Linked DNA regions of Xenopus tropicalis. The protein of the gene in region 4 interacts with the protein of the main gene of each other region in a pairwise test. Links are inferred from orthologs where the notes say so. Each region holds a gene or a part of one and is shown on either strand. Other genes may lie near its edges.

The links. The genes of interacting proteins can lie anywhere in the genome.
Region 1: the proteins of prpf31 (region 4) and ssx2ip interact in binary tests that used the Homo sapiens proteins (3 or more experiments, as listed by UniProt). The two-hybrid records come from large-scale screens. The link is inferred for Xenopus tropicalis from reciprocal best matches to the Homo sapiens genes PRPF31 and SSX2IP.
Region 2: the proteins of prpf31 (region 4) and tada2a interact in binary tests that used the Homo sapiens proteins (3 or more experiments, as listed by UniProt). The two-hybrid records come from large-scale screens. The link is inferred for Xenopus tropicalis from reciprocal best matches to the Homo sapiens genes PRPF31 and TADA2A.
Region 3: the proteins of prpf31 (region 4) and jakmip2 interact in binary tests that used the Homo sapiens proteins (3 or more experiments, as listed by UniProt). The two-hybrid records come from large-scale screens. The link is inferred for Xenopus tropicalis from reciprocal best matches to the Homo sapiens genes PRPF31 and JAKMIP2.

What each region holds. Positions count from the first base shown.
Region 1 is NC_030680.2:77,496,792-77,503,103, reverse strand, and holds part of ssx2ip (afadin- and alpha-actinin-binding protein), read right to left. Parts: intron 2,878-6,312; 5' UTR 2,809-2,877; coding exon 2,760-2,808; intron 2,234-2,759; coding exon 2,082-2,233; intron 1,922-2,081; coding exon 1,712-1,921; intron 1-1,711. UniProt on the Homo sapiens protein: Belongs to an adhesion system, which plays a role in the organization of homotypic, interneuronal and heterotypic cell-cell adherens junctions (AJs).
Region 2 is NC_030678.2:76,082,651-76,088,962, forward strand, and holds part of tada2a (transcriptional adapter 2-alpha), read left to right. Parts: intron 1-635; coding exon 636-679; intron 680-2,962; coding exon 2,963-3,073; intron 3,074-6,312. UniProt on the Homo sapiens protein: Component of the ATAC complex, a complex with histone acetyltransferase activity on histones H3 and H4. Required for the function of some acidic activation domains, which activate transcription from a distant site. Binds double-stranded DNA.
Region 3 is NC_030679.2:43,573,343-43,579,654, forward strand, and holds part of jakmip2 (janus kinase and microtubule-interacting protein 2), read left to right. Parts: intron 1-755; coding exon 756-875; intron 876-2,051; coding exon 2,052-2,180; intron 2,181-3,172; coding exon 3,173-3,256; intron 3,257-6,312.
Region 4 is NC_030683.2:104,950,751-104,957,062, reverse strand, and holds part of prpf31 (U4/U6 small nuclear ribonucleoprotein Prp31), read left to right. Parts: intron 1-574; 5' UTR 575-583; coding exon 584-757; intron 758-2,120; coding exon 2,121-2,181; intron 2,182-3,041; coding exon 3,042-3,125; intron 3,126-3,331; coding exon 3,332-3,429; intron 3,430-4,032; coding exon 4,033-4,139; intron 4,140-4,223; coding exon 4,224-4,393; intron 4,394-5,273; coding exon 5,274-5,431; intron 5,432-5,516; coding exon 5,517-5,606; intron 5,607-5,693; coding exon 5,694-5,821; intron 5,822-5,907; coding exon 5,908-5,980; intron 5,981-6,282; coding exon 6,283-6,312. UniProt on the Homo sapiens protein: Involved in pre-mRNA splicing as component of the spliceosome. Required for the assembly of the U4/U5/U6 tri-snRNP complex, one of the building blocks of the spliceosome.

The DNA.
Region 1 (6,312 bases), on a different chromosome or scaffold from region 4:
ACAAATGAATCAGAGGACAATTATGCCTATATTAGATAGACCCACAGACCATATTCAAGATACAGCTTATATCTGTTATAAAAACTAGGCAAGAGTGCACCCCCTCCTCTTCTCCCCAATCTACCCTCTAACACAGGATTTTTCAAACTCTTTCCATCTTCCCCCTTACATTGTTTGTATGTAAACAAAACGGTTATAAAAACAACCAATAAACATAACATTTCAAAATAAAAAAAAAAATACTACTAGCCTACAGTTGGCTTGGCTTCTTATCATTAAAACTGAAGGTGTTATAAAGGTAACATGACAAAAAAAAAAAAAAAAGAAAAAAACAAACAAGACTGCTTTAAAGGTTTTACAGGTTTTTGTGTCAGTCTCATCTGCTAGTATTTCCCCCTATTTCTGAATGTATGGTGACAAAAATGGTTTTACAAAAATGTTTTACCTTTTATATCATAGCTATAAAGATTTTCAAAGCTCAGCATTAGGACAAACTCAGCTCTTATTTTAGCATTATCATTTTTCCCCAGAAAAAGGTCCCTACCCTTTCTCTCTTTTTCCTACCCTATGAAACGATTAGTGGAACTGCAACTCTCCTCCAAACTGTAAAGTTCTACTGTATCCCCAATATCAGATATAAGATCTCATACCCAGTGTTTATTTGTACATCATCTACTGTGTAGAACAGTAAATAAAGCAACTATGGTGTGGCCCACCTGCTTCTAGCTGCAACTCCTTTAAATCTTAGATTGGGCAAATTGTGATTTAATTCACAGCTAGAGGGACATCTCCTGATCATCTGCGACAGCTGGAGAGCCCCCTAGTTCCACAAGTACAGCTTTGATAGAAGCAGTTATAGCTCTGTGACAGATGGAGGGCACACTGGTCACATGGAGGAACATACTTTCTTCACATTATCCAATAGCATACATCAGAATTGCCTGTACACTTAACTGGAAGTAGTTATTCGGAGATAGCAGGAAGCCCGCCGTCTGATACATACTATTAAATAATTACATATTCCTAAATGTGAGCAGTGGCCCCACAGTTGTTACAAAAAAAAAAAGTCTGTACTATTGCCTAGACATGACTGACCTGAATGAAAAGTGTGTGACAGTTTAATCAGGCCAGGCACAGAGAGTTCTGCCTGTCATTCACTGACATTACCAGGTTATGACAATAAGCCGGTGGCTCCTCTGACTCCGAGACGTTCCAGGAGAGGAAGTGAAGGAGAGGGGCAGTGCTTAAACTAAAAGGAAAACTAGATCTAAAAAGGTATGCTAAGCTATACTAGCATGAATATTAGGCCAAGTGTAAAACCAAGGTAATCGTCCCCTTTAACACATATTTATAAACATTCCACAGTGCCATACAATAAATGGGTATTAAAAAAAAAACAAAACACCCACAACTACAACCGATACAAAAGACAGAGGGCACTGCCAAAAAGTTTCCAATCTAATATCTACAATCTTACAAATATGTATCAGAAACCCTGTAGACTCTTGAATCTTAAAAAATAAAAGGCTACCAACATGGACAACTTTAGGAATCATTTAAGCACTGCAAGAAAGTTGCTTAAGAGGCCTCCCAGGGACCCTTCTCTGCTGCCCTGAGTTATTTCAAAGATATGAAGGGTTAACCCCCCTCACCATCTGTACCCTCCTTTCTTTTATCAGGGGCTGTCACATTTCTCTGGCAGCAATCTCACCTTCTGCCTCTGATGAATACTCTGTAGATGCTCCAGGTCACCATTTATTTTCAGAATCTGTGTTTCTACTTCTTCTTTGCCTCGCATATTTTGGGAATTTCTTTGAAGTAGCTCATGAATACAGTTGATGATAGACACCAAATGCAATTTTCTTCCTTCTCCATTCTTGGATACAACTTGCACTGTTGGAAAGCCTAAGGTTCTAAGCTCCTATTTAGAGAAAAACATGTGTTATCATTCATTTTTTTCTGGTGGTATTTCAACTGTTAACAGCTTAGGTGTCCACAGAAAACATCCTTCTAAAGTAGACACAGGCAGAACTCAGAAACAACCTGTGTGCCAAAGCCCTTACACAATATGGGACCCATACCTGATCAATGTATGTAATGCACTGCTCTAGGTTGTCTTCGGTGCAGAAAGTATAAACGCTGTCAGACAGGTTATTGGCTACAGAAAGAGAAGGGGATTGTAGAAGACTTGGTGGAGAAACACGCTCAGAACTGTACTGTTGTAAAACCTTATCTGTAAGAAAAAAGATTTTTAGTATTTGGTATGTTTTCCATAGCTTATCATTTGGTATATTTTTATGGCTTAGAGCAAGTTAAGACCTCTCCACAGGTAGGGAAACAACTGGCTTGACACCATAGACATTTTCCTGAACCCATTATTTAGCAGAGATACAATGGGCAGCCAAAATTTAGGGCCTGTGCATATCCCTAAAGTGCCACAGAAGGGATGATTCCAGGCAAATGAATGTCTGGGTGTACCACTCTCAGTGTGAATGTGTTCTCCAACTCAGTGGCTTGTGTCTCCCTGAATTTCTGGCAGTGGGACCGTTTTAGATGGGGATAATGGCAATAGTACCTTTCAAAGTATATGGATTAGTAAAATAACAGGCAGATTAAATGACATGGAGGGTCGAACTGAGGGCCACAGCTAGACAGAGAGAGAGGCTACATAAACGTAGAGAAAAAATATATATGAGCATTAACAGAATTCTGTACTATGTTGTTAAGTTGATTATTTGCTCAATTTTGCATGGAAATACCTGATTCTGGCAAACTGATGGTTCTCCGGTCTCCCATAGCAATAAACATGAAATGAATATTATGGCAAAGAGTAGACCATGCAAAAGTTTGAAGGTATTACAGTCAAGCAGCCATTTCCTGGTGAAGTAAAACAAAAAACATTAGGATATTCATTCTGTACATTACTACATTTATGAATTAAATAAGTAGGAACTAACAACATTTAAATATTTCTGGGGGGGGGGGCTTCAAAATAAGCATTGGTTTAAAAGCAGTCTCAAAAACCACCTGCATTTACTGTACATATGGTATGTGCAAAAATCCACTCCAATCCCACTACTAAGATTAGGAAATAAAGGGTATCTATTCTCTATTCTCAAAGAACTGATTCCCCCATCAGAGGTGCAGACAATAGTTTGCTTCCTTAAAAATGCCCCTCTCCAGTGCAAAGTCACTTGCACCAAGATGGAGCTCCTGGTGTAGATGGCCATGTTTGGCAACACGTATGTACATAAGTGCGTCTCCCCACCAGTTTATGCGATTGATTTAGAAGCAGTGGGCATGCCCATGCTATTAAGTTACACCTGCCCTATATGTAAAGTGACAAACAGGTCCCCTCCTGTCAACATGTGCACATACTGAGCAGTTTCAGCCCACGTCTGCCTCTTTTCTGTCAGCAGAAAAAACATATTAGGCCTAAATTGCAAAGCCAAACAGAGGATGCAAAGAGCAAAAAAAGCTGCAATCTGCCATTTTTTAGCACTGGATCCAAATGCCAATACAATTTGCAAAAGTGCAAACTGTGTTAGTCAATGCAGGATCATAGAGGCAGGCAGGGGGAATAGTACAGCCCCCTACACTAACTTACACGTCATTAGTTCGTACACGGTAGGCAGCAGCAGGAGGTGCAGCCCACATCGGGCCCCTGTCCTTACTGCCTCCTAATGCTGCAGAAACTCCACACCTCCCTTAGCATTCCTACACGTGTACCCCCAGGAAGTAAACGACACCTATAGTATTCTATAGCCCTAACTGTCAATGCCTTTTACATGCATTTTCTTTACAAAAAAAACCTGCAAAAGTTTGCATCTGAGCCTCCCACAAATCAGCATTTCATGATCACATCAGTTTATGAAAGCATGAAATGGTCTTAGAACTGTATGTCTATATAAGTATTTGAAAAGAAAATCTACTGATTGAATTTTAAACTGAATATGTGTATTCTAAGTATTTCAACCTTTAATAGCAGGTGCTTGGGTTTTGCATCTCCCTTTGGATTAAGGAGGTCAGAGAGGAAAGATTTGTTCCATAAATAGATAGATGTCCAGTAACAAGAGAAAATCCACTTAAAGCTGCTACATTTTGTTCTTCTAATCCCCTATACAGATGGCTGGGCACAATTAGCTGCATACACAGGCTAGCTAGGTTTTAAATATCACTGACGAAGAAGAGCAGGCACAGGTTCCATGTCTTTTGTTTTGGTGTAGAAAGATGTGAACATGTGGAAGTTTTTTTTTTTTTTTTTTAAATTGCATACCCTGTAAGGAGAGTTGTAAATGGAATTGCAATAGAAAGCAGTATTTGACTCTTGAAACAATTCAGCAGAAATCAATTATCCTCCAAGTCTAATTCAATTTATTCAGTCAGAACCAGTGCAGATACTGCTTTCAACAGCAATTGCATGTACATATAAGGGAGAATGTTTAATTTAAAAATATTAATACATACATAATGTAAAGTTGCATAGTTTTTTGGATGGAGACCCCCAATTAAATGCTTTCAAGTTGCAAATTAATGTTTTCTTTAAAAGTACATGATATCTGTTACTTACAGTATGTGAAAAGCAAAGAAGAACACAAACGTGAGCAAGCAGCTATCTTCTACAGCACATAGCATATTGCACTGCATGATAAGGAGTTTACACTAAGCTTGACACAAACAGAGACCTCTCCCTTATGTTAAAGGTCAGTTAGGTCTGAACTGAGCTTCAAAATAGTCCCTGGTACAGTATGTTGAGTACACAGAGCTCTAAACAGCCCCTACAAGCTCAATAAGCAGCGACTGTCTAAAGCAAGGGTCCCCAACCTTTCTTACTCGTGAGCCACAGTCAAATGTAAAAAGATTTGGAGAGCAACACAAGCATCATAAAAGTTCATGGAGCTGCCAAATAAGGGCTAAGATTGCCTATTAGGTAGCCTCTATGCACACTATCAGCTTACAGGAGGCTTTATTTGGTAGTAAATCTTATTTTTATTCAATAAAAACTTACCACCAAGTCAGGCATCAAAAAATAACTACCTGGTTTGGGGGCACTGAGTGCAACATCCAAGGGGATGGTGAGCAACATGTTGCCCCCGAGCCACTGGTTAAGGGATCACTGGTCTACAGCATCTCACAGCAGCCCCTCTGGCATTTGCCAGTACCTACAGATTGCAAGTCCAGGCTTGAGGTGAGCTATGAGATCACAAGGGAAGCCAGGCTTGGCTGCAACTAAATAATAATGAACAAGCATTTAGAATGGCTATTATAATTTACAGTTCATAACAGGGAATCTGTATCTTGTATACAGGTTGACCCTATAGAAAGTGCTTTATGGCATTAATAAAACATATTAAGGATGTCATCACCCCATCTTCCCAGGCCCGGTGCCTTGGGGTTATCCTTGATTCTGACCTGTCCTTTACGCTTCATATCCAGTCACTTATCAAATCATGTCACTTTCACCTAAGAAATGTTTCCAAAATACGATCATTTATCACCCAAGATGCTGCCAAAATTCTTGTTCACTCTTATATCTCGCCTGGACTACTGTAACTCCCTATTAATTGGCCTTCCCCTCTCCCATCCATAATGAATACTGCTGCCAGGCTCATACACCTCTCCACCGCTCCAATCCCTGCACTGGCTTCCCCTACCATCCAAGATCCAAAAATTCAAACTAATGACTCTCACATTCAAAGCAGTTCATAACTCTGCCCCACCCTACATCTCTGAACTTATCTCTAGGTACCATCCAACCCGCTTGTTATCAGGCCCGGATTTGTGGAGAGGCCACAAAGGCCCGGGCCTAGGGCGGCAGAAGTTTAGGGGCAGCATGCCGCCCCGCCGCAAAAAAAAAATTTAAATTTGGCTCCCATACGGAGCAGTCGGGACCTCTCCCCACTGCTCCGTATGGGAGTTTTAAGGAGCGCATGCGCACTGGTGGGGTCGCTTTCGCGCATGCGCACTGGGGGCCGCGCTTTCGCGCATGCGCACTGGTGGGGAGGGGGCGACCGACAGGGGCGGCCTCGGGGCGCCCAAAACAGAAATCCGGCCCTGCTTGTTATGCTCCTCTACTGACCTGCTCCTCAAATCCTCTCTCATTCCCTCCTCACACACTCGCATTTAAGATTTTGCAAGAGCTGCCCCCCCTTCTCTAGAATTCGCTCCCACAAACTGTCAGACTTTCTCCCAATCTCTCTGCCTTCAAGAGATCTCTAAAAACGCATTTATTTAGAGAAGCTTACCCTAATCTAGTTTAACATAACCTCAGTATGCCGCTAAAAGCAAACACCTGTGCCACACCTCTCACAA
Region 2 (6,312 bases), on a different chromosome or scaffold from region 4:
TGTTACTCATGAGCCACTGGTTGGGGATCACTGATTTAATGGTACTGTTGGTAGATAATGCTGAACACCAGGTCTAGTGGTAGATCATAATCTACTTTTTAAAGGAGATGTAAACTCATCCCATTATTGTAAAAACCAGCAATTTTCCAATATACATGCTTTATTTTATTCTTACAGTTGTGAAGATAACAAGCAGCCTCAGCCAGCCCTGCCTCAGCTGTACAAGAAACTTGGGCAATTGCGGGCTGTTCTTATCTCTCAGTGTAGCCACGGCCAGTTGGAACAGAGAATACACAGGCAGCAAACGAGCATACTTGCCTCTGATTGGCTCCTGTTGCACACAGAGGACTGAGCAATAAGAGAGGGATAGGATTACTGCAGCAACAAAGCAATGGACTGACTGAGGCTGCCTGTGGCAGCAAAGGAAATCAATTGATTATTTAGAGAACAGTGAGAATAAAACAAAGCATGTATATTGGAAAGTTTCTTGTTTTTAGAAATTCTATCATAATCCTTAACCTAAAGGGATGACTTTACATCCCCTTTTTGCTTGGCAATCATTGCCTTGGAATTGAAACATTGTTTTATTACAGAAAAGAGACTTGCTAAAATACATTTTTGTTTTCACATTTCAGAATTATAAGAGAGCATGGCCTTATAAATCTTAGGAAATTTCAAAGTAAGTGTTCTTTTATCCTCACATTTATGCTTAATAAATTTTTAATCTAGTAGCATTTTTGCAAATAGCGTAGCACCATATCCAAGATTTGTTTTAGGATTTGGCTGAACTGCAAGGATATTTTCGAATTAATACACAAATTCATGGTTTCAGTATTTGGTCAGTCAATCCAAAAATTATGGTTTGTTTATCTCTGATTTAAAATTGATGATGAAAAACTGAAGAATGGCCTATACTGGCATAGCTTTATGATATCTCTGCACTAGCTATGAGCAAACCTAGGCTTCTGCTGTTCTACATATGGAGAAGCACATCTTCAGCTAGTAATTATTAAAGGAGACATATTGGATAAATGGGAAAAAACGCTAATTTTGTAGGCAATTATGAATAATATACGGTGCTGGTTTCCCTTTGGGCTAAAAATTAATCCTATCTGTAAAAATGGCCCCTTTATTAGAGCTCCCTATAGATCGTATCACTTCTCTGTCCAGTGTGAAATGAAGAGCGGGTGTGTCCTAACGGTCCCTGCCAGAAGCACAGTAGGAGGGGGAGAGCCAATCACAGCCCTGCACTCACACAAGCAAAGACAGGCTTCAGTTCCCTATCAGGTCAGCCTAGCTGCTGATTGGTTCCTATCCTACAGTGCAGTGTACGGAGGGCCGCCGGCTCCCCAGCTCATCCAGAGAATTCAGCCAGCAGGAAGTGGAACAGATGGGCGAGGCTAGTGGGGTTTTTGTGGAATTTCTCAAAAAATCAGTTCGAAACACAACATTTTTAAGCCCAATCCTTCTATATCTAGAGGAGTATAATTCATTGGAACATTCATAATTTTTATAGGATATGTCTCCTTTAAACATATGGTCGAATTGAACTTATTAGAACCCTGTCAGCAATACATTAAGATGGCTTGCCATTTAAGTTATGTATAAGATTCCATGCTTTCCACTCGTTTGTATTAGGGATGCACTGAATCCACTTTTAGATTCTGCCGAACCCCCAAACCCTTTGTAAAGGATTCGGCTGAACCGAATCCAAACTCTAATTAACATATGCTAATAAGGTTTTGGAAGGGTTAAATCTCGCTGTGAGCAGAGCGAGGCAAGATATTTTCAATTTCCGTGATTAAATGCCAAAAAGTCACATGATTTTTAGGATTCAGTTCAACCAGGAGCATGGATTTGTACAAATCCTGCCGATAAAGGCAGAATCTTGGCCAAATCCAGAAACTGAAAACCTGTATTTGGTGCACCCCTAATTTTTATATACATGCATAAATTGTAGGAAAAGAATTTTGAACCTGAAGGACAAAAAGAATCCACAACCCCACACCACAAACAATGGAAAGTTTACATACTGTAGCAAGGCAGAAACATGACTTGCTGGAACTATTAATATTTGACTTAAGTAATTAAGGCTTTCAATACATTGAGATTTTACCTTCAAATATAGATAAGTTAACCATTAATAACCCCTTTGTCTGTCAGATTTACTTGTGTTATTGGCAGCAAATGGGGATGTTTCCTACGGATCTAGGTGTCAAAATGGCGCCTGTCCTCAGGAAATGGAGACGGATGAGAACCCTACACACTATAGAGTCCTTTTTAAAAAAAACCATTTCATTTCTGTAATAATAATAGTACTATGTATTTTATTCTAACTAAGCAGCATGAATCTGTTTGGGGGCAAAACAATCCTATTGGATTTAGCTAATGTTTAAAAAAATTTTTTAAAAGTTGGGGGTTATGTATTGAATATGTTTCTATTTCTCATTGTATAAGCTGCCTTTATGGCCAAGTAACCTCACTGACTGACAGCGCAACAGCTGGTATGTCCAAGGGAAAAACATTTTAAGAATAGGATATTTTGCAACTTGCTGTTTTTCAATTGTTGTCTCTTGCCTATGTATGGCAGACACAAATGAATTTAAGTCCTGGAGACTTTTCAGTCGATTCTGTGTCAAACACATGCATATATTGAGCACTCGTGTTCACGTGTGTGCCGAAACATGGTCTCCTCACCAGGAACTCCCTTGTGGTGGAATGTGTATAGCGCATGTCTGGAGGGCTTTCTTGAAAAAAATACTCTGTTAGCCCACATGGTGAGGGAAACGATTTTGATACGATAGGTGCCCTTTAAGATATATTTATTGGCATGTTTAAAATCCTAGTAATGAAGTGATAGCAATATGTTGCTTTTATATGATATTTTCTTGCACTTGTTTTTGGTGTCTGAATGTCTCCTTCTGTACACTATTGAATAACATACTTTGTTATTGTTTCTTAGTTTTAGAACGACGGTATCCCAAGCATGTCCAAGAGCTTTATGAAGCAATGAGGAGATTTGCCAGGATATTGGGGCCATATGAACACGACAAATTCATTGAAAGTCATGCACGTAAGAGAGATTCATAACATATCCTATAACATATAAATTTCTGGCATCTGTTACCCAGAAAACAGATGTCTAGAAAACTCCAGAAAAACTTTAAAGCCATTTCATTTCAACTAACAGGGTTTATGGGGTTTTTTGTTTTAAAGATTTGCTTTTTGTCTATAATTAGACATTGGCGTAATGATAACCAAGTTAGAATAAATACCTATTAATTGCAAAACAGTTCTTTTTATACCCTTTGTAAACCTCCTTGTCCCAAGGGTTCTGGATAACAGATAGGGATGATCTAAAACCGGGGTGCCCAGACTTTGTCACCCTGTGATCTACTCTTGCCACTTGGCCTCCATCATGAGATCTACCACAGTTAAAATTGTGCAACGTCTATCATTTGGCACAATAAACAAGTATCAATCGATGACACATAGCAATATTTAAATGCAGTTCCAACTTCATATTTAATGCCCAAATAACATTATTCAAGTGCCAACTTCAAGTTCAATGTGGAAGGATTGTAGTAGTTTTTACTTCCCTTCTTTATGGCCCACTTTGTAGTCTGCACACAGAAACATATATAAAGTAGGAACAAATATATATATATCATCATCCTGATGACGATCCTGTGGTGATCGAAACGCGTAGATGGTATGCTGAAATAAATCACTGACCTGATTGATGCTGTAGCTGTGAGTGCTTTCTACTGTTGAGTTTGATGCATTATTTTTGTCAGCACCCAGCCTTTGCCCCGATATTGGTGAGTGCCGATTCTTTACAAGACTAAAAGGGGTCACTGCCTGGGTGCTAATGCAAATCAAATAATAAAGTACAATTGCAATAAAGGCTAGCACTCACAGGATTTTCGTTAGTATTTGTCAAAAATAAAACAAAAAAGAATCTAACAAAGCAAATGTCTTACATGGTTTTTATTAATCCGATGTTTCAGCTCCACACAGGAGCTTTCCTCAGGGAGGAATATAGATATATATAGATATATATAGATATAGAAATATATAGAGATATATATAGATATAGATATAGATATAGATATATATATAGATATATATATATATATATATATATATAGATATAGATATAGATATAGCGCAGCCTGGTTGGGACAATCAAAGACGGAAGGCTTGGGCAACCGCACTCGAAAGCTCCAGTATGCTGGGGGGGAAAATGAAGTTGCCGGATGTCGTCCTACTGCATTCAACCTCAAAGTCTACCCAAAACTTTAAAGTGGTCTACTGGTAGACAAACGATCTACCTTTTGTGCACCCCTGATCTAAAATGTCACTTGCTGGTGGGCTTGCATGTGGTGGTGCACTAGCAAATGCTCTTACAAATAACCTTTATCACAACACTAGGTGGCAGCACCCCTCTTTGCTAGAAAATAGGTTGCCATTTCATTGCCTCTTATTATGGGTGTATTTCATCATCATAGAGTAGAGGTTTTACCCTTCCTTTGTGTCTTTTAGATTAGTTTTTAGTATGTTGTAGAGAGTGATATTCTGAGACAGTTTGAAACTGATCTCTATTTTTTTTATCTATAGTTTTTAATTATTTAATTTTTTTTTGTTCAGCACCTCTCCAGTTTGGAAGTTCAGTAGCTGTTTGCTAGGGGCAAATTATCTTAGTAACCAGGGAGTGGTTTGAATGAGAGACTATAATGTGAATAAGGAGAAGAAGGCCTGAACAGAAACATAATAAGTGACAATAACAATAAAATTGTAGCTATACAGAACAAAAGTTTATTGGCTGCTGGAGTCAGAAGAAGAAAAAATAAGGCTAATTGAAAAGTTGTTTATAACATACTAAATGTTAACGTAAAGGTGAACAATCCTTTTAATAGGCTGAATTTTGGTACTTTAATTATAAAAAACTGTAGAAAAAGGAGTCCTTCACCCCTAAATGTATTTTGCATAATGAAAGGAAATAAGTGATGTGTGGGTGAGGAAAAACTACCGGCACCTGACCCTAAAACGTAAAATGCACACCTGACCCTAACCTGCAAAATGCACTACTTTTGAGTCGCTTCTGATTCCAAGACAGGAAATCTTCTGAAGCAGGGAATGAAATATAAACTTCAACATAAATTACAAATTTTCAGTCAAGAAGTTCTGTGGAATTACATTTACAAATAACTTTAAAGCCATTAAAAATTGTAATGTATATTGGAAAGTTGCTGAGACTGTTACTATATTATTACTGTAATATACTATTACTATATGCAAAAATAAGTTTTGGGCAGCGTGTGCTATTTTATTGTTATTAATTAAAAAATCAAAACAAAAAAATCCATTGCAGATCTCTCCTTTGTCTTTGGAAAGGTACCCCTACATTTAACTGATTTTTTTGTTGATGGAGCTATTTATTTGCTGGTCCATTAAACACCTGGAAAGTGGGGTGATACTATTTTTTTAATGTTTAGGTAAAAATAACCTAAAATGTATATGATCTTAAAAGAAATTTTAAAAACCCCAAATCTGGTCTTTGGCTAGATAATGAACTCAACCCATATTCCTAAATGGCTAGAATATAAGGTTTTATTTTTCCCAGAATTAACTATATCTCAAAGAAAAAAAACAACTTTTTTTTTTCCTTCCCTATGCCATTTCATTTTTTTTTTTTTTATCACTTCTCCTCTCGCCTTTCTTTTTATTTAAAGACATATCAATCCTAAATAGTTACCTCTAAGCAATGCTTACCCATGACAACTCACATCCCACCTAATGTTCAATCCCTTTCGGTCTATGAACTTAGTTATTATGACACTGTGCCATTGTCGTCTATAAATGGTATATAGATGATATTTGTATGGAAAGGCAAAGGGCATGATTTTTTCCCCTTTGGGATATTAAGATAGTTCATTTCTATGAAAGAGAAATTTGTCATCTATTTAAAAAATATTTAATTCTTCTAGTTATGCACAAACATAGATACAAATACAGCAATATTTATAGATGCATTGAATGATGTACAGAGTGAGTTTTAACAGTTGTAATAAAGAGTTAATATGTTATAAGGAAGGGACATTATTAATGATGTAAACTCAGAATGCCTTTTAAATCTGTATCCACACAGTTAAGATTGTGCCTATGATTACATGTATGTTCACACGAAATGCGTTAGGAGACATGAAAAAAGCTGTCTAACTTTAAACCGCTGCCTGTGTGTCTGATAAGTGCGGGTCAAAGAAGGTTTTAAATTTGATTCATATTACTGGTTTAATCATTCTAAATAAA
Region 3 (6,312 bases), on a different chromosome or scaffold from region 4:
CACATCAATGAAAAATATTTAATTTCAGGATCTATGTGCTGTCACAGTATAAAAGACAAATACCTGTAGGTATTAATGCTATATATTGCTCCCTATGTTAGATAAATGCCTCAGAATCTAGGTGCAATATAGTATATTGGTCATGTAGGTTATTGTCCATAAAGGGACATCAGCACATTTGTAATTTCTACCTATACACTTAGGGGCTGATTTACTAACCCACGAACGGGTCGAAATGAGTCCGATTGCGTTTTTTTCGTAAAGATCTGTATTTTGCGTTTTTTTCGTATTTTTTGCGATTTTTTCGGCGTCTTTACGAATTTTTCGTTACCAATACGATTTTTGCGTAAAAACACGAGTTTTTCGTAGCCATTACAAAAGTTGTGTAAAATCTTGCGATTTTTCGTAGCGTTAAAACTTACGTGAAAAGTTGTGCCTTTTTCGTAGCGTTAAAACTTAAAAGGTGCGAAGTTTCGCGTAAGTTTTAACGCTACGAAAAAAGCGCAACTTTTTGCGCAAGTTTTAACGCTACGAAAAATCGCAAGATTTTACACAACTTTTGTAAAGGCTACTAAAAACTCGTGTTTTTACGCAAAAATCGTATTGGTAACGAAAAATTCGTAAAGACGCTGAAAAAATAGCAAAACATACGAAAAAGTCGCAAAATGTTCGTTTTCAAGTCGGAACTTTTCTAATTCGGGTCGGATTCATGGGTTAGTAAATCAGCCCCTTAGAATGTTGTACTACTTTTACAGAGGCACCTAGTTGATACAGTGTTTGGCTACGATGATGATTCTATGGATTCAGAAACCTCTTCTGTTGCTTCATATCGGACGGATCGAACACCTGCAACACCAGATGATGATTTAGATGAAGTAAGAAAAATGTCCTTGCAGATTACCCAAGGGTTTTTATGGATTTTCAGTACTGTATTCTGGATATATTTAGATGCCATTATGGCGGCAGTGAATGCACACAAATAATTAAAAGGCACTTTAAGATTAAGCTTCAGCCATTGTTATTTGCATTGACACCCTAAATATCAATAACAGCATAATGGTCAAGAATTTTGGCAGGTGCTAAATCAGATCTCACTTACAGCTTATACATTGTTGGAGCTCACCAATGCCCTCAAAACATTATTCCCTACTTTGGCCATACACAAAGGGGCACATTCATTAAAATATGACAGGTCCAATTACAAAAATTTTTTATTTTTTCCAAAGTTTACAACTTTTGCGTATCTTCTGCAATATTTACATTAATTTGCGCAACTTTTTTGTACTTTGCGACAATTTGTGAGACAAAATCGTATTTGTTGCAACAAGTACGAAGGTTTCGGATTCATTCAAGCTTCGGTATTGTGACTTTCCTTGGGCCAGGTTGGAGCTGCAGAGTGCCATTGAGCCCTATGGGAGACTTTCCTTGGGCCAGGTTGGAGCTGCAGAGTGCCATTGAGTCCTATGGCAGGCTTCCAAAATCATGCACTGAAGGTTCAGAAAGTCAGAAAGGTTTTCGCGTCGTTTACGATCGTTCGGATGCGAAAAGTTTGTAACTTTCGGATCGTTCCAGAATATATTCGCCCAAGCACAACACAAATTTTTTGCAAAATTATTGCACATCAGAAATTTTTGTATTTAATGCGAATTTTTCAAATCGTATTCGTAATTCATACATTAATGAATCTGGCCCCAAGAGTATTTTAAATGATGGAAGATCTACCTCCACTGAAGCTTCTGAGGATAAACACACTAGAAAGCAGTAGACACAAGTATACAGTACATACAAATTTTCATTACACCTTCCTCATGCTGTGCATATTTCACAAAATAACTCTAAGAACTAAATATATCTCCTATATCTTGGCTCCTTTATATGAGGCCACCCTTTGCTATTGGAATTTTTCCATGTTCAGACTAAAAATAATGTAGTTGTAGCAAGAATTATGTAAGTAGAGACCATCTTACAACTGATATTTTCACCTGTTGCATTTTCAATGAAAGGTACATTCACATCAAATCTATAAGTAATTATTTTTTGTCTATTCAAAGAACCTTGCAGCGGAGGAATCAGAGCTGCGATTTCGGCAGTTAACAAAGGAGTATCAGGCACTGCAGAGGGCATATGCATTGCTGCAAGAACACACAGGAGGCTTTACAGACGCTGAGAGAGAAGCAAAGGTATATCATGTCATTCAGATTTAGTACTGTGCCATTCAGTACAACCCCATCTACAGCTTAAATATTTGCCTGTGTTGAATTTCTTATTTTTATTCACATTTCTTAAATATGAAAGACATTTCTTATTGAAACACAAACTCCATGGAGATACCCAGGAAAGAATTCTTCTCTGTAGTAATAACTAATTGTAGCCAAATGGTATCAAAATGTATCATTTGTTGTATTTTATTAAAGAGGGAAAATGTTCAACACTGCTGAAGCCCATATATTATATAGATACTTTTAATAGGTCAGAAAGGAAGAATATTTAGATTTACTATTTTTGAGCAATAAAAAAAGTTTACGACTAACTAGATCTGATGAATATTTGCTGTGCTATGTGATTTACATCAAATACCTTTTTACTGAAGTGTATGGCAGCCTGTCATACTATTAAGATAATTACATTTTATTAGGATACATTTCACTTGGGTGTTGCTTTCACACAATAATGACACAGGGGGCTCTGTGGAGCAAAATACAGTTGCCTCTTGCAAGTCTGGACTGGGATTTAAAATAGACCCTGGCATTTAAGTACACAGAGCCATAACAGCCCTCATTGGCCCAATAAATAGTGACTATGGCATCTTACAGCAGCCACTCTGGCATTTGCCAGAATCCACAGATTGACAGTCTGGGCCTGAATTTGTGTTACCAGTAAAACCCTTGTCCTGGGGTGGATAGAGACTGCCTTGCTGGCTGTTGGTTTACCAAAAACATTTTTACACTGATCATAAGTCAGTTCACATGGAAGCTAATGGAAAGGATAACTTACATACCTTTGCTGGTTGGACTCTTCCAAAAATGTTGTCTCAATAACAAAACCATAGGATTTTTTGAAATATTACCTGCTACTATAACTTGAGTTACCCATTGGGACATATACTTTATAGCAAGTGTCACATGCTGTGTGAAAATGAATGAGTAATAAACGTGTGCAATGTATTTCGTAGGCGCAGGAGCAGATGCAAACAGAAGTTCTGCGCTACAAAGCAAAGGTTGAAGACCTGGAGAAAACACTGGCACAGAAGGGGCAGGTTGGTTAATTTCACTGCGTATATATTTTCTAAAACTGGTATTGTTAAGTAGATACATTTAATAAGAAAAAATAAAAGAGCACTTTTTTATATGGGCTAAAACATCTGTAACACAACAAAAGAGAGGAGGATGTAAATTCACTATCCAATAAGCTTTATAAGAGTCTTGGAACTTCAAAGGATGACAGGATATCAGAACCTTAAAAGAAACAGAACATCTTTCTAGTCATATGGAATTGTCTTCAAAAGAGAAGTACTAATATAGAAAATCTGCCATGTTCATTCTGAACAACTGTATTTTTTAGCTACATCATCATGGTGCCAGAATCACCTCTCCAGGCTTCATCTATGGCAAAGGGCTATTCTTCATATAGGTATCCATTTAAGAGTACAGGTTCCTAGAAAATGTACACATATTTTTATTGTTTTCTTATATTGCTAATGAGATAGCAGCAAAGCAACCACAGCCACACTAACAACCTTCAACGGTATTAACAACATAGGAGCCCTGTGTTGCCATGGGCAGATCCAAGGACCTGGGGCCTTATGACAACTGTGAAAAAATAATTTCTCTTGCGTCCTGGGGGACACAGGCACCATGGGGTTAAATCCCCTCCCATCAGGAGGCAGGACACTGTATAATTTTGATTTCTCTCCCCTATATAACCTCTTCCCCCACCCAGGTACCTCAGTTTTTTTAGTGTCCTCGCAAACAGGAGGTTGGACAGAAGAGTCTCTAGGAGACACAACTTGAAAGGATCACTACGGTTCAGGGCTTAGCCCTAACACCCGGGGTGGTACCTGAGGCAGCCTAGGCTGCACTCGCTGCGTCAGCCCCCTACGCTGGACGGCTCCTTGAGCCTGCTGCCTAGAAAAGGCAATGTACCCGACGGCCGCCCCCCCCCCTCCCTACAACGGGGGCCCACGGCACAAACCCGGGATTACAGAGGAGCATGAGGTCCCCTCTAGTCTCTTCTAACCCTCCGCACCGACCACAGGTAGCGAGAGTGAACAGGGGTTTACAGCCCCTCCTCACACACGGGAGATCCCAACCTCTCCCCCATACCTACATCTGGCAGGCGGAGGGTCAGGGTATCCTCCGGCAGCCGCCCCTACACTCTCACACGGCGCGCCTGCTGTGACGCAGCCGGCGAGAGAGTGAGGCAGAGGGAGCCCGGCAGGTAATGGATGGTACGCGCCTTCCGCACCCTCAATAACCGCACCGAGACTTCCGGCCGTACCGCCGGAAGTGCGCGCGGCTCACGTGACCTCCCCACATTCGCGCCCTCAGTCGGCTCCTCCCCTTCCGGCATCCGACAGAGCGCGCGCTCGCAGCTACGCTACACGGCAGCCCTGCTCCCAACGCAGTCAGAACGCCACAGGTCTCTCACCCTCCATATCTCCTCTTCCCTCTACCAGGCACAGATACGGTAAAAGGGTCACTAAGCCAACATGGCTGAGGGGTCAGGGGATGCACTATTCCTCAGAGGGGGGAAACAGGCGTCCAAAGTAACTTTCTTTGCATGTACTCAATGCAAGAAAAAGTTTAAGGTGGCACAAAAAGACCCAGTTTGTAAAGCTTGCACCACTGCTACCACGGATGCAGAGCAACCCACGCCACAATTAACAGACCAGGGGGAGAATGTACAGGCAGCACTACCCTCAACATCGGGCAATGTGGCTACAGAAGCCCCTGAGGCTCCAGCCTGGGCAGTTTCACTATCTAATTCCCAAGCTAATCTGCAGGGAATCCCACTATTAGCATCATCTCTAGATAAAATCCTAGACAAACTAGCATCTCCTAATGTAGTTAAGAGCACATCTAAACGCAAGTGCCCATTACCTAATGACTCTACTGCACCCTCCTCACCTGAGTCCCATTCGGACCAGGAAGGGCTCAGCGAAGGGGAATTATCCCACTCCGCATCAGAGGGCGACTCTGCCTCAACCGCCCAGGACTCTGCCAGGTCACCAAATGACCTGATTGTGGCAGTCCTTCAGGCCCTTAACATTGAGGATACTGACAAGGGGGCTAAGACCTCTAAGGGTCTATTCCGCAGAACGGCCTCGCACGAAATAAATTTCCCAGCCCATGAACAACTCCAAGCCATCATCCAGGAGGAATGGAACCTCCCGGAACACAAGTTCCAAGTCACCCGAAAATTCTCAAAACTTTATCCCTTTCCAAAAGAGGACCTGGGAAAATGGAGCACCCCACCTCTAGTGGATGCTCCGGTATCGCGGTTGTCAAAAGCCACCGCCTTACCCGTCCCAGACGCATCTGCCTTTAAGGACGCCACCGACAAAAAACTGGAAGGCTTCCTTAAAGCTATCTTTACCTCTGCAGGTACAGCCTTTAGACCCATTCTTGCCATGGCATGGGTAAGTCGGGCTCTGGAAGTGTGGTCTGACGCCATCCTCACCGGTCTACAGAGCGAAACTGCCATCGAGGACGTCGAGTCCGTCGCACTACACATCCAAGAGGCGAGTTCCTTCCTCAGTGAGGCTTCACTGGATGCCCTGAAGCTGCTGGCCCGCACATCCGCTCTCTCAGTAGCCGCACGCCGCTCCCTGTGGCTTCGACTATGGTCGGCTGACCTTAGCTCAAAAAAGTCACTTACCTCTCTTCCCTTCAAAGGTTCCCGCCTTTTCGGCGAAGAACTAGAAAAAATTATCTCACAAGCAACGGGGGGCAAAAGTACACTGTTGCCCCAGCAAAAACCCAAGAGCAGACCCTCTACTACATCTTACAAGAGACAGCGCTTTTTTCGAGGCCAAGGTACGCGTTTCTCAAAAGGATCACCTCCATCCAGATCCTCCTCTTCTGCCAGAGGTGGGCCCACCTCCAGAGGCAGAACAACCTGGCAGTCTCGCAAGACATTTACCAAGAACTCTAACGAGAAGAGCTCCTCAGCATGACTGGCCGCACGACACTTGGCCAGACATTCAGGTCGGGGGACGTCTCAAACACTTCGCCACCACCTGGGCCGAACTCATAGACGACCCCTGGGTCATAGACTCAATATCTTCCGGTTACAGGATAGAATTCCACAGAA
Region 4 (6,312 bases):
GATTAGTTCATCCTGCCATACTGACTGGGCAGGCTCCCCTGTTTCCTTCTTTTCTGCATAGAGCAGGGATTCTCAAGCATTTTACTTGTGAGCCACATTCACATGTAAAAAGTATTGGTGAGCCACACAAACCTGAAAAAAAAAATTATTTGGGGATGGAAAATAAAGGCTGTGATTGGCTATTTGGTAGCCCCATGTGGACTGCCGGCCTGCAGGAGGCTCTGCTTGGAGTTAAACTGTCTTTCTGCTTCCAAAACTTGCCTCCAAGCCAGAAATTTAAAATTGGGCACCTACTACAGGCCATTGGGAGCAACATTAAACTGGGTGGAAGAGCAAGGTGTTCATGAGCCAATGGTTGAGAATCTGGCATAGAGCATTGTGAAAAAGCCGGGTAGGATTTTTGCAGAAAAGTTTAACTGATAAAGATCAAATGAACTGGATGTCTTCTTAGTAGGAAAGGACATATCTCTGATTATTTAATGAGCAGTGGATGATCCTGGGACTTTTGCAGTTTTATTTGGCACCTTTTAAACCAATGTAAATAGGGAGATGCAAATATATATCTTTTTTCCAGTAATACAAGATGTCTCTGGCGGATGAATTATTGGCTGACCTTGAGGAGGCAGCAGAAGAAGAAGAGGAGAACTTGATTGACGAAGATGATTTGGAGACCATTGAAGAGGTGCAGGAGGAGATGCAAGTGGACTTAAATGCAGAATCAGTAAAAAGCATTGCCAAGCTATCGGATAGTAAATTGGTGAGTCTGTGATCTAGATATATTGCTCTGTATACACCTTATATTTTACACTTTTTCTTTTTGAAACTGATGTTTCATTTTTCACCTTATCTCTACCTGGGGCAGCCTAAGGATGGGGCAACTGTATTAAGTTTTTATTTCTGGTGTTCTATCTAAAAAAAAAAACAACTGAACCAAAAAATATCTAATGTTTAACTCTTGAGACATATTAAGAGAATACAGAACTTACAGACCCCTCCTCAAAATACTTTGGTACATTGCTGCAAAAAACAGTGTAGTAGTAAGAAGTGATCTTTTATAGTGCTTAAGTCCATATGAAAGAGGTCTATATGCACAAATAAGCAATTTGTCAAAACATCGTGAGATAAAAAGTAGGAGGATAAATTCACAACCTGTTTCCAATGTATGCGAGACAGGTCTTGGATACCCAGCAAATGGACTAATGCCTTTAATGGTCAATAAGGATACAGCTTGCAAAAACATGCATTCCTTTTTTTTCAGTTGTTTTTTTTTTTTTTTTGTCCACTGATGTCTCTACTATTGGTTTTTCCACCACCGCATTAAGGGTAGGGGTGCTATTTCCTTGCACTCTGATATTCTATGGAAGCATTTTGCAGCAATAGCAAGTATGTATGGGTTAAGTATGTGCCAGCTTTGTACTCAGATGACACAGATCAGATATCTGCCATAGATTCTCTATTGGATCAATATCCGTTCTTTAACTGAGCGTTGTTTCTCCCTCCCCTCATTACATCCTTCTGCTCTACATTAAATATGCAAAGTTTCTTTTGATGAAAATCAGGCCCACAGCAGGATTCTGCCACCAACAAACTTCACTTTAGGTATGGATCATCTTACAGTTGAGGGCTACATTTGTTGGCAAGTTACTAACTTGTAAAACCTATAGCTAATCTGCCTGGAAGAATGGCTGATGAATGGAACAGTGTACAAAACTGGCACCTACTTACCCACAAACACTTATGGGCAGATGTATCAGAATGTGAGATTAGAACTCACCAGAGAAAAATTCACACACTTTCTCTTCATTCCTATGGGATTTTCGTAAGTGCATCTATCAAGTGGTGAACTTTAACTTTCACCTATTAATCTAAAAATCACATAAAAATGAATAGAAAGTGTCTTAATTTTTCTTTGGTGAGCTCTAATCTCTCATTTTGATAAAATTGCCCCTTAGTGCTTTCTGTGCTGCAAAAAGTGGTTCTAACACATATTAATGTGTGGGGTTTTATTTTTTTCTCTGATATATATTTATAAATGAAAACAAAATTTTTAAAATGATGGAGCAAAATGTCTATATAGTCTGTTATAACCACATTGTGAAATAAATGATGCATTTTTTCAGTTTTCAGAAATCCTTTTAAAGATTGACGGATACATCAAAAAGCAACCAAAGGCTTCTGAAGGTATCATTTAAATCATGGCATTAACTCCAAAATTTCAAGCCAGAGTACCTAAAATATCTTCAAATAATTTTCATGTGGACTGTTAATAACAGAGACAAAGAGTTACCAACCGAAAAGGATTGCAATATAAAGAAACTCACATTGTATTGTGCTGTAGAGTGAAAGGCAGCTGCATGAGTTTGTGTGGCTTTAAGGGAAAGATATTATAATAATTCATGTTTTGGTGTGATGTTAATGGTTATTGAATGGGATGACTTATTCTGCCTCACTCATGCCTGAAATTTGAAATATCCATAACCCTGGTATACAAAACAGATTGATGTGGAGGCTAGACTTTAATTGGTATTTTATATTACATGTTTTATTACACATCTTTTCAAAAAAGTGTTCTTCGTTTTTAAATCTAAACTGCAGTTTTCCCAGTTATTAAAAAAGAGATGAATGATGGCAGACTGCAAATTATTGTATATTGCCAGTTCTTCATATAAAAAGGTATAGTTATAAATTGGCACAGTGGTTAATTTCATTACTTTCTCTATGAACTCATTGGTTTGGCATACTGCTGTGTTTCATTAAAGTGACACAAGTAAGAATTCTGGAAAATATAAGCATATTCAGACTAAATATGCCTGTGTTTGTTTTATGATTAGCTTCCCGAGGAGGCGTTTATGTAAATGAATGAATGCTGTTACTCATCGACCTTCCATTTAGCCCAGTGAAATTAGCAATATATGTGATCTATTGATGTAAACTGGTTCAAACAGCAACATTGCATATAGATTCTCAAACAGAAACAAAGCAAGAATGTAGTTTTGACTGCACTGGTAATTTGAATTTTATTCTGTTTCTATTTTTTTTAGTAATGGGCCCTGTTGAAGCTGCTCCAGAGTACAAAGTTATCGTTGATGCTAACAATCTGACTGTGGAGATTGAAAATGAGCTAAGTAAGTGCATCTGACTGTATTCTCCGTGTTGGTAGAAAGTGCAATGTTTCAATAATCTGAGGTGATGATTTAGTAAAATAAGTGCTACATTTATGTACAACCCTTTTGTATAGGAAACTGCAGATACTATGTTAGAACATCTATAGCACTTGTGTACAGTATATATGGGAGTGTACGCTCTTAAAACCTATATTATATCTTCTTAGATATCATTCACAAATTTATTCGGGACAAATATTCCAAGAGGTTTCCTGAGCTGGAGTCCTTAGTTCCTAATGCTTTGGATTATATAAGGACTGTGAAGGTAGGTGATTTGTGTGCATGAGGATACTAAGTGGTTAGTTTGTGTGTCTTTCAGTAAGGGGGATTGTATTTTGTGCATGTGTGTATATAGTTATGGTATAATGGTGATGTCTGGATACACAGTGTGTAGTATAACAGTATGTAGGAACATACACTGAATAGAGAAGGTAATTTGTATAAAGATTTATTAAGCTGGACCCAAACTTTTCTTAAAATGTTAAATGAAAAATGTATGAACCATAAACATATATGGGGTACATGAAGTGACAATAAACTTAGCATTAGGTGACATCAGTAAACTACTTATGGCACCACTTTATGAACTTTCACATTTATTTTTCTTCAGTTTTTAGGTTAGCTTGGGGCCTAACAAAATCATCAGTATTGTGTGGGTTTCCCCTAGGTACTTTGCTTTCTTTTAATACTGCAAAGACATACAAGGAGGGTAATTGGTTCCTGATAAAATTGACCCTACTATGCCTGAAACTTATAGGGACCTTAGACTGGGACTGATGAGAATGTATATTATCTCTGTAAAGTGCTGCTGAATATGTTTACGCTATATAAATATCAAAAATAATAACATCTTATTTGGGTGTTGTAGGAGCTAGGGAACAATCTGGATAAATGCAAAAACAATGAGAATCTTCAGCAAATTCTGACCAATGCAACTATCATGGTTGTAAGTGTGACAGCCTCCACAACTCAGGGGTAAGTTCATATATCTGTTACTATACTATAACTTTTTCAGTGTTTGGGATGAAAATAAGAAGTAAGTTCCTCTGATCTACACAGGCAGCAATTAACAGATGAAGAACTGGAACGAATTGAAGAAGCGTGTGATATGGCGCTAGAACTCAACCAATCCAAACACAGAATTTATGAGTATGTGGAATCTCGTATGTCATTCATTGCTCCTAACCTCTCCATCATTGTCGGGGCCTCCACTGCTGCCAAGATCATGGGTAAAGTGTCATAGTGTTTGTTTTTATTTTAGCCAAGATTGTTTTATATCTTCACTCTTCTGCACAAAAAAATCTGTTCTGTAAACCATTGGCAGAACTTTAGTAAATAGATAAAATGCTTTTATTTACAGCTTAGGGCACACAATAGCTGCTTCTAAGAGTATTTATTAAAGGAGAAGGAAAAACTAAATTACCAAATATTAGGCACCCCCCCCCCAGTGTAATGGCTTACCTGTTACCTCGGGCTGGTGCTCCTGTTAGTAGAAAACTGCCCTGTCCCAGGGTTACTTCTGCAGAAGCTCTTTGGCACAATTTTTTTTCCCCACACTGGACACGGGCATGCAAATGTGCTCTAGTGTAAAAGAGTCTGCTTTTCAGTTCGCATGCACCATGGATCGATGGCTACAAGGATTTTCTGCAGAAATACCCGGGCCAATGCACTTTTTACAGAACAGGTAGCACCAGCCCAGGATATTGGGTAAGTGATCTTAACCCAGTGATTTAAACTTTCCTTCTCCATATATATCTATATCTCAGCACAGGGGTAGCTTGCTTGGGTGGTAGTGGGAACTTTACACAGTCCGTTTAGAGGAGGGCCTTTCAGTAAAGAACTTCCAGTTTGTTTGTTTGTATGAACGCAATATTTGTTGGTTGCAATGCTTGGCTTGCAGGCCCCTCCTTCCCAAACTGGCTGAAAGTATGGAGGCGTCATTTGCTTGACCTAGTTAGCTGCTCTTCTGCTTTGTCAGTTTATTTCTATTCACTTGATAAAATGGTTAACACACGATACAGAAAGGTTTTTAATTATGTATATTTATTTATTTCATGTGTCAGGGTCACTTGAAAATATATATTTTTTTTCTGTAATTATCAATTGCAGGTATTGCTGGAGGTCTTACCAATCTCTCGAAGATGCCAGCTTGTAATGTCATGCTGCTGGGAGCTCAGAGGAAAACATTATCTGGTTTCTCCAGCACCTCGGTGCTGCCACATACAGGATACATTTATCACAGCGACATTGTCCAGTCCTTGCCACCAGTAAGATGAATATTGCCCTGCTTGTTACTTGTAGATTTATATTTACATTAAAGGGGAGTGATGCTTATTATTTTTCCCCTTATAGGACTTGCACAGAAAAGCAGCACGACTGGTATCTGCAAAATGTACCTTGGCAGCACGTGTTGATAGTTTTCATGAGAGTTCAGAAGGAAAGGTCAGTGTCTTTATGCTGGTTGCTTGGTACTTAGGTTACATATTGTTAGCTATGGTTTGTAGCTTTAAGTGTTTATTATCTGTGTAGGTTGGATATGACCTAAAAGAAGAGATTGAAAGAAAATTTGATAAATGGCAAGAACCTCCACCAGTCAAACAAGTGAAGCCCCTTCCTGCTCCACTGGATGGACAAAGAAAGAAACGTGGAGGCCGCAGGTGGGGGCTGCTGCTGTAATGGTCTTTTTTTCTGTAATGGGCATATGTTTGTGTGCTAATTCTGTCTCGTTCCTGCTTACTTTTAGGTACCGCAAAATGAAGGAACGTTTGGGGTTAACAGAAATCCGTAAACAAGCCAACAGAATGAGCTTTGCAGAGGTGCTGCATCTGTATTTTCTTTCCTATGTGTGTCTGTGTGTATATACGCGTATGCAATAAGTAGAGTGCATTCTGGACATGTAGTGGCAGTTTTCCAAAGCAAACTTTGCAGAACTGGGCTATGACACATGGGGGGGGGGGGGGGGGGGGGGGTCAGAGTTTCAAGGTTAGAACTAGGTATGTGAAAGCCCCAGTATCTACACGTAACTGTATTATGGCCCAATGTTTGCTTGTTACAAACTCTGAGAAGGATGCTTTTAGAATAGAAATAATGTTGATGCTTCATTTTATGACTGATTCAGATTGAAGAAGATGCATATCAGGAAGATCTA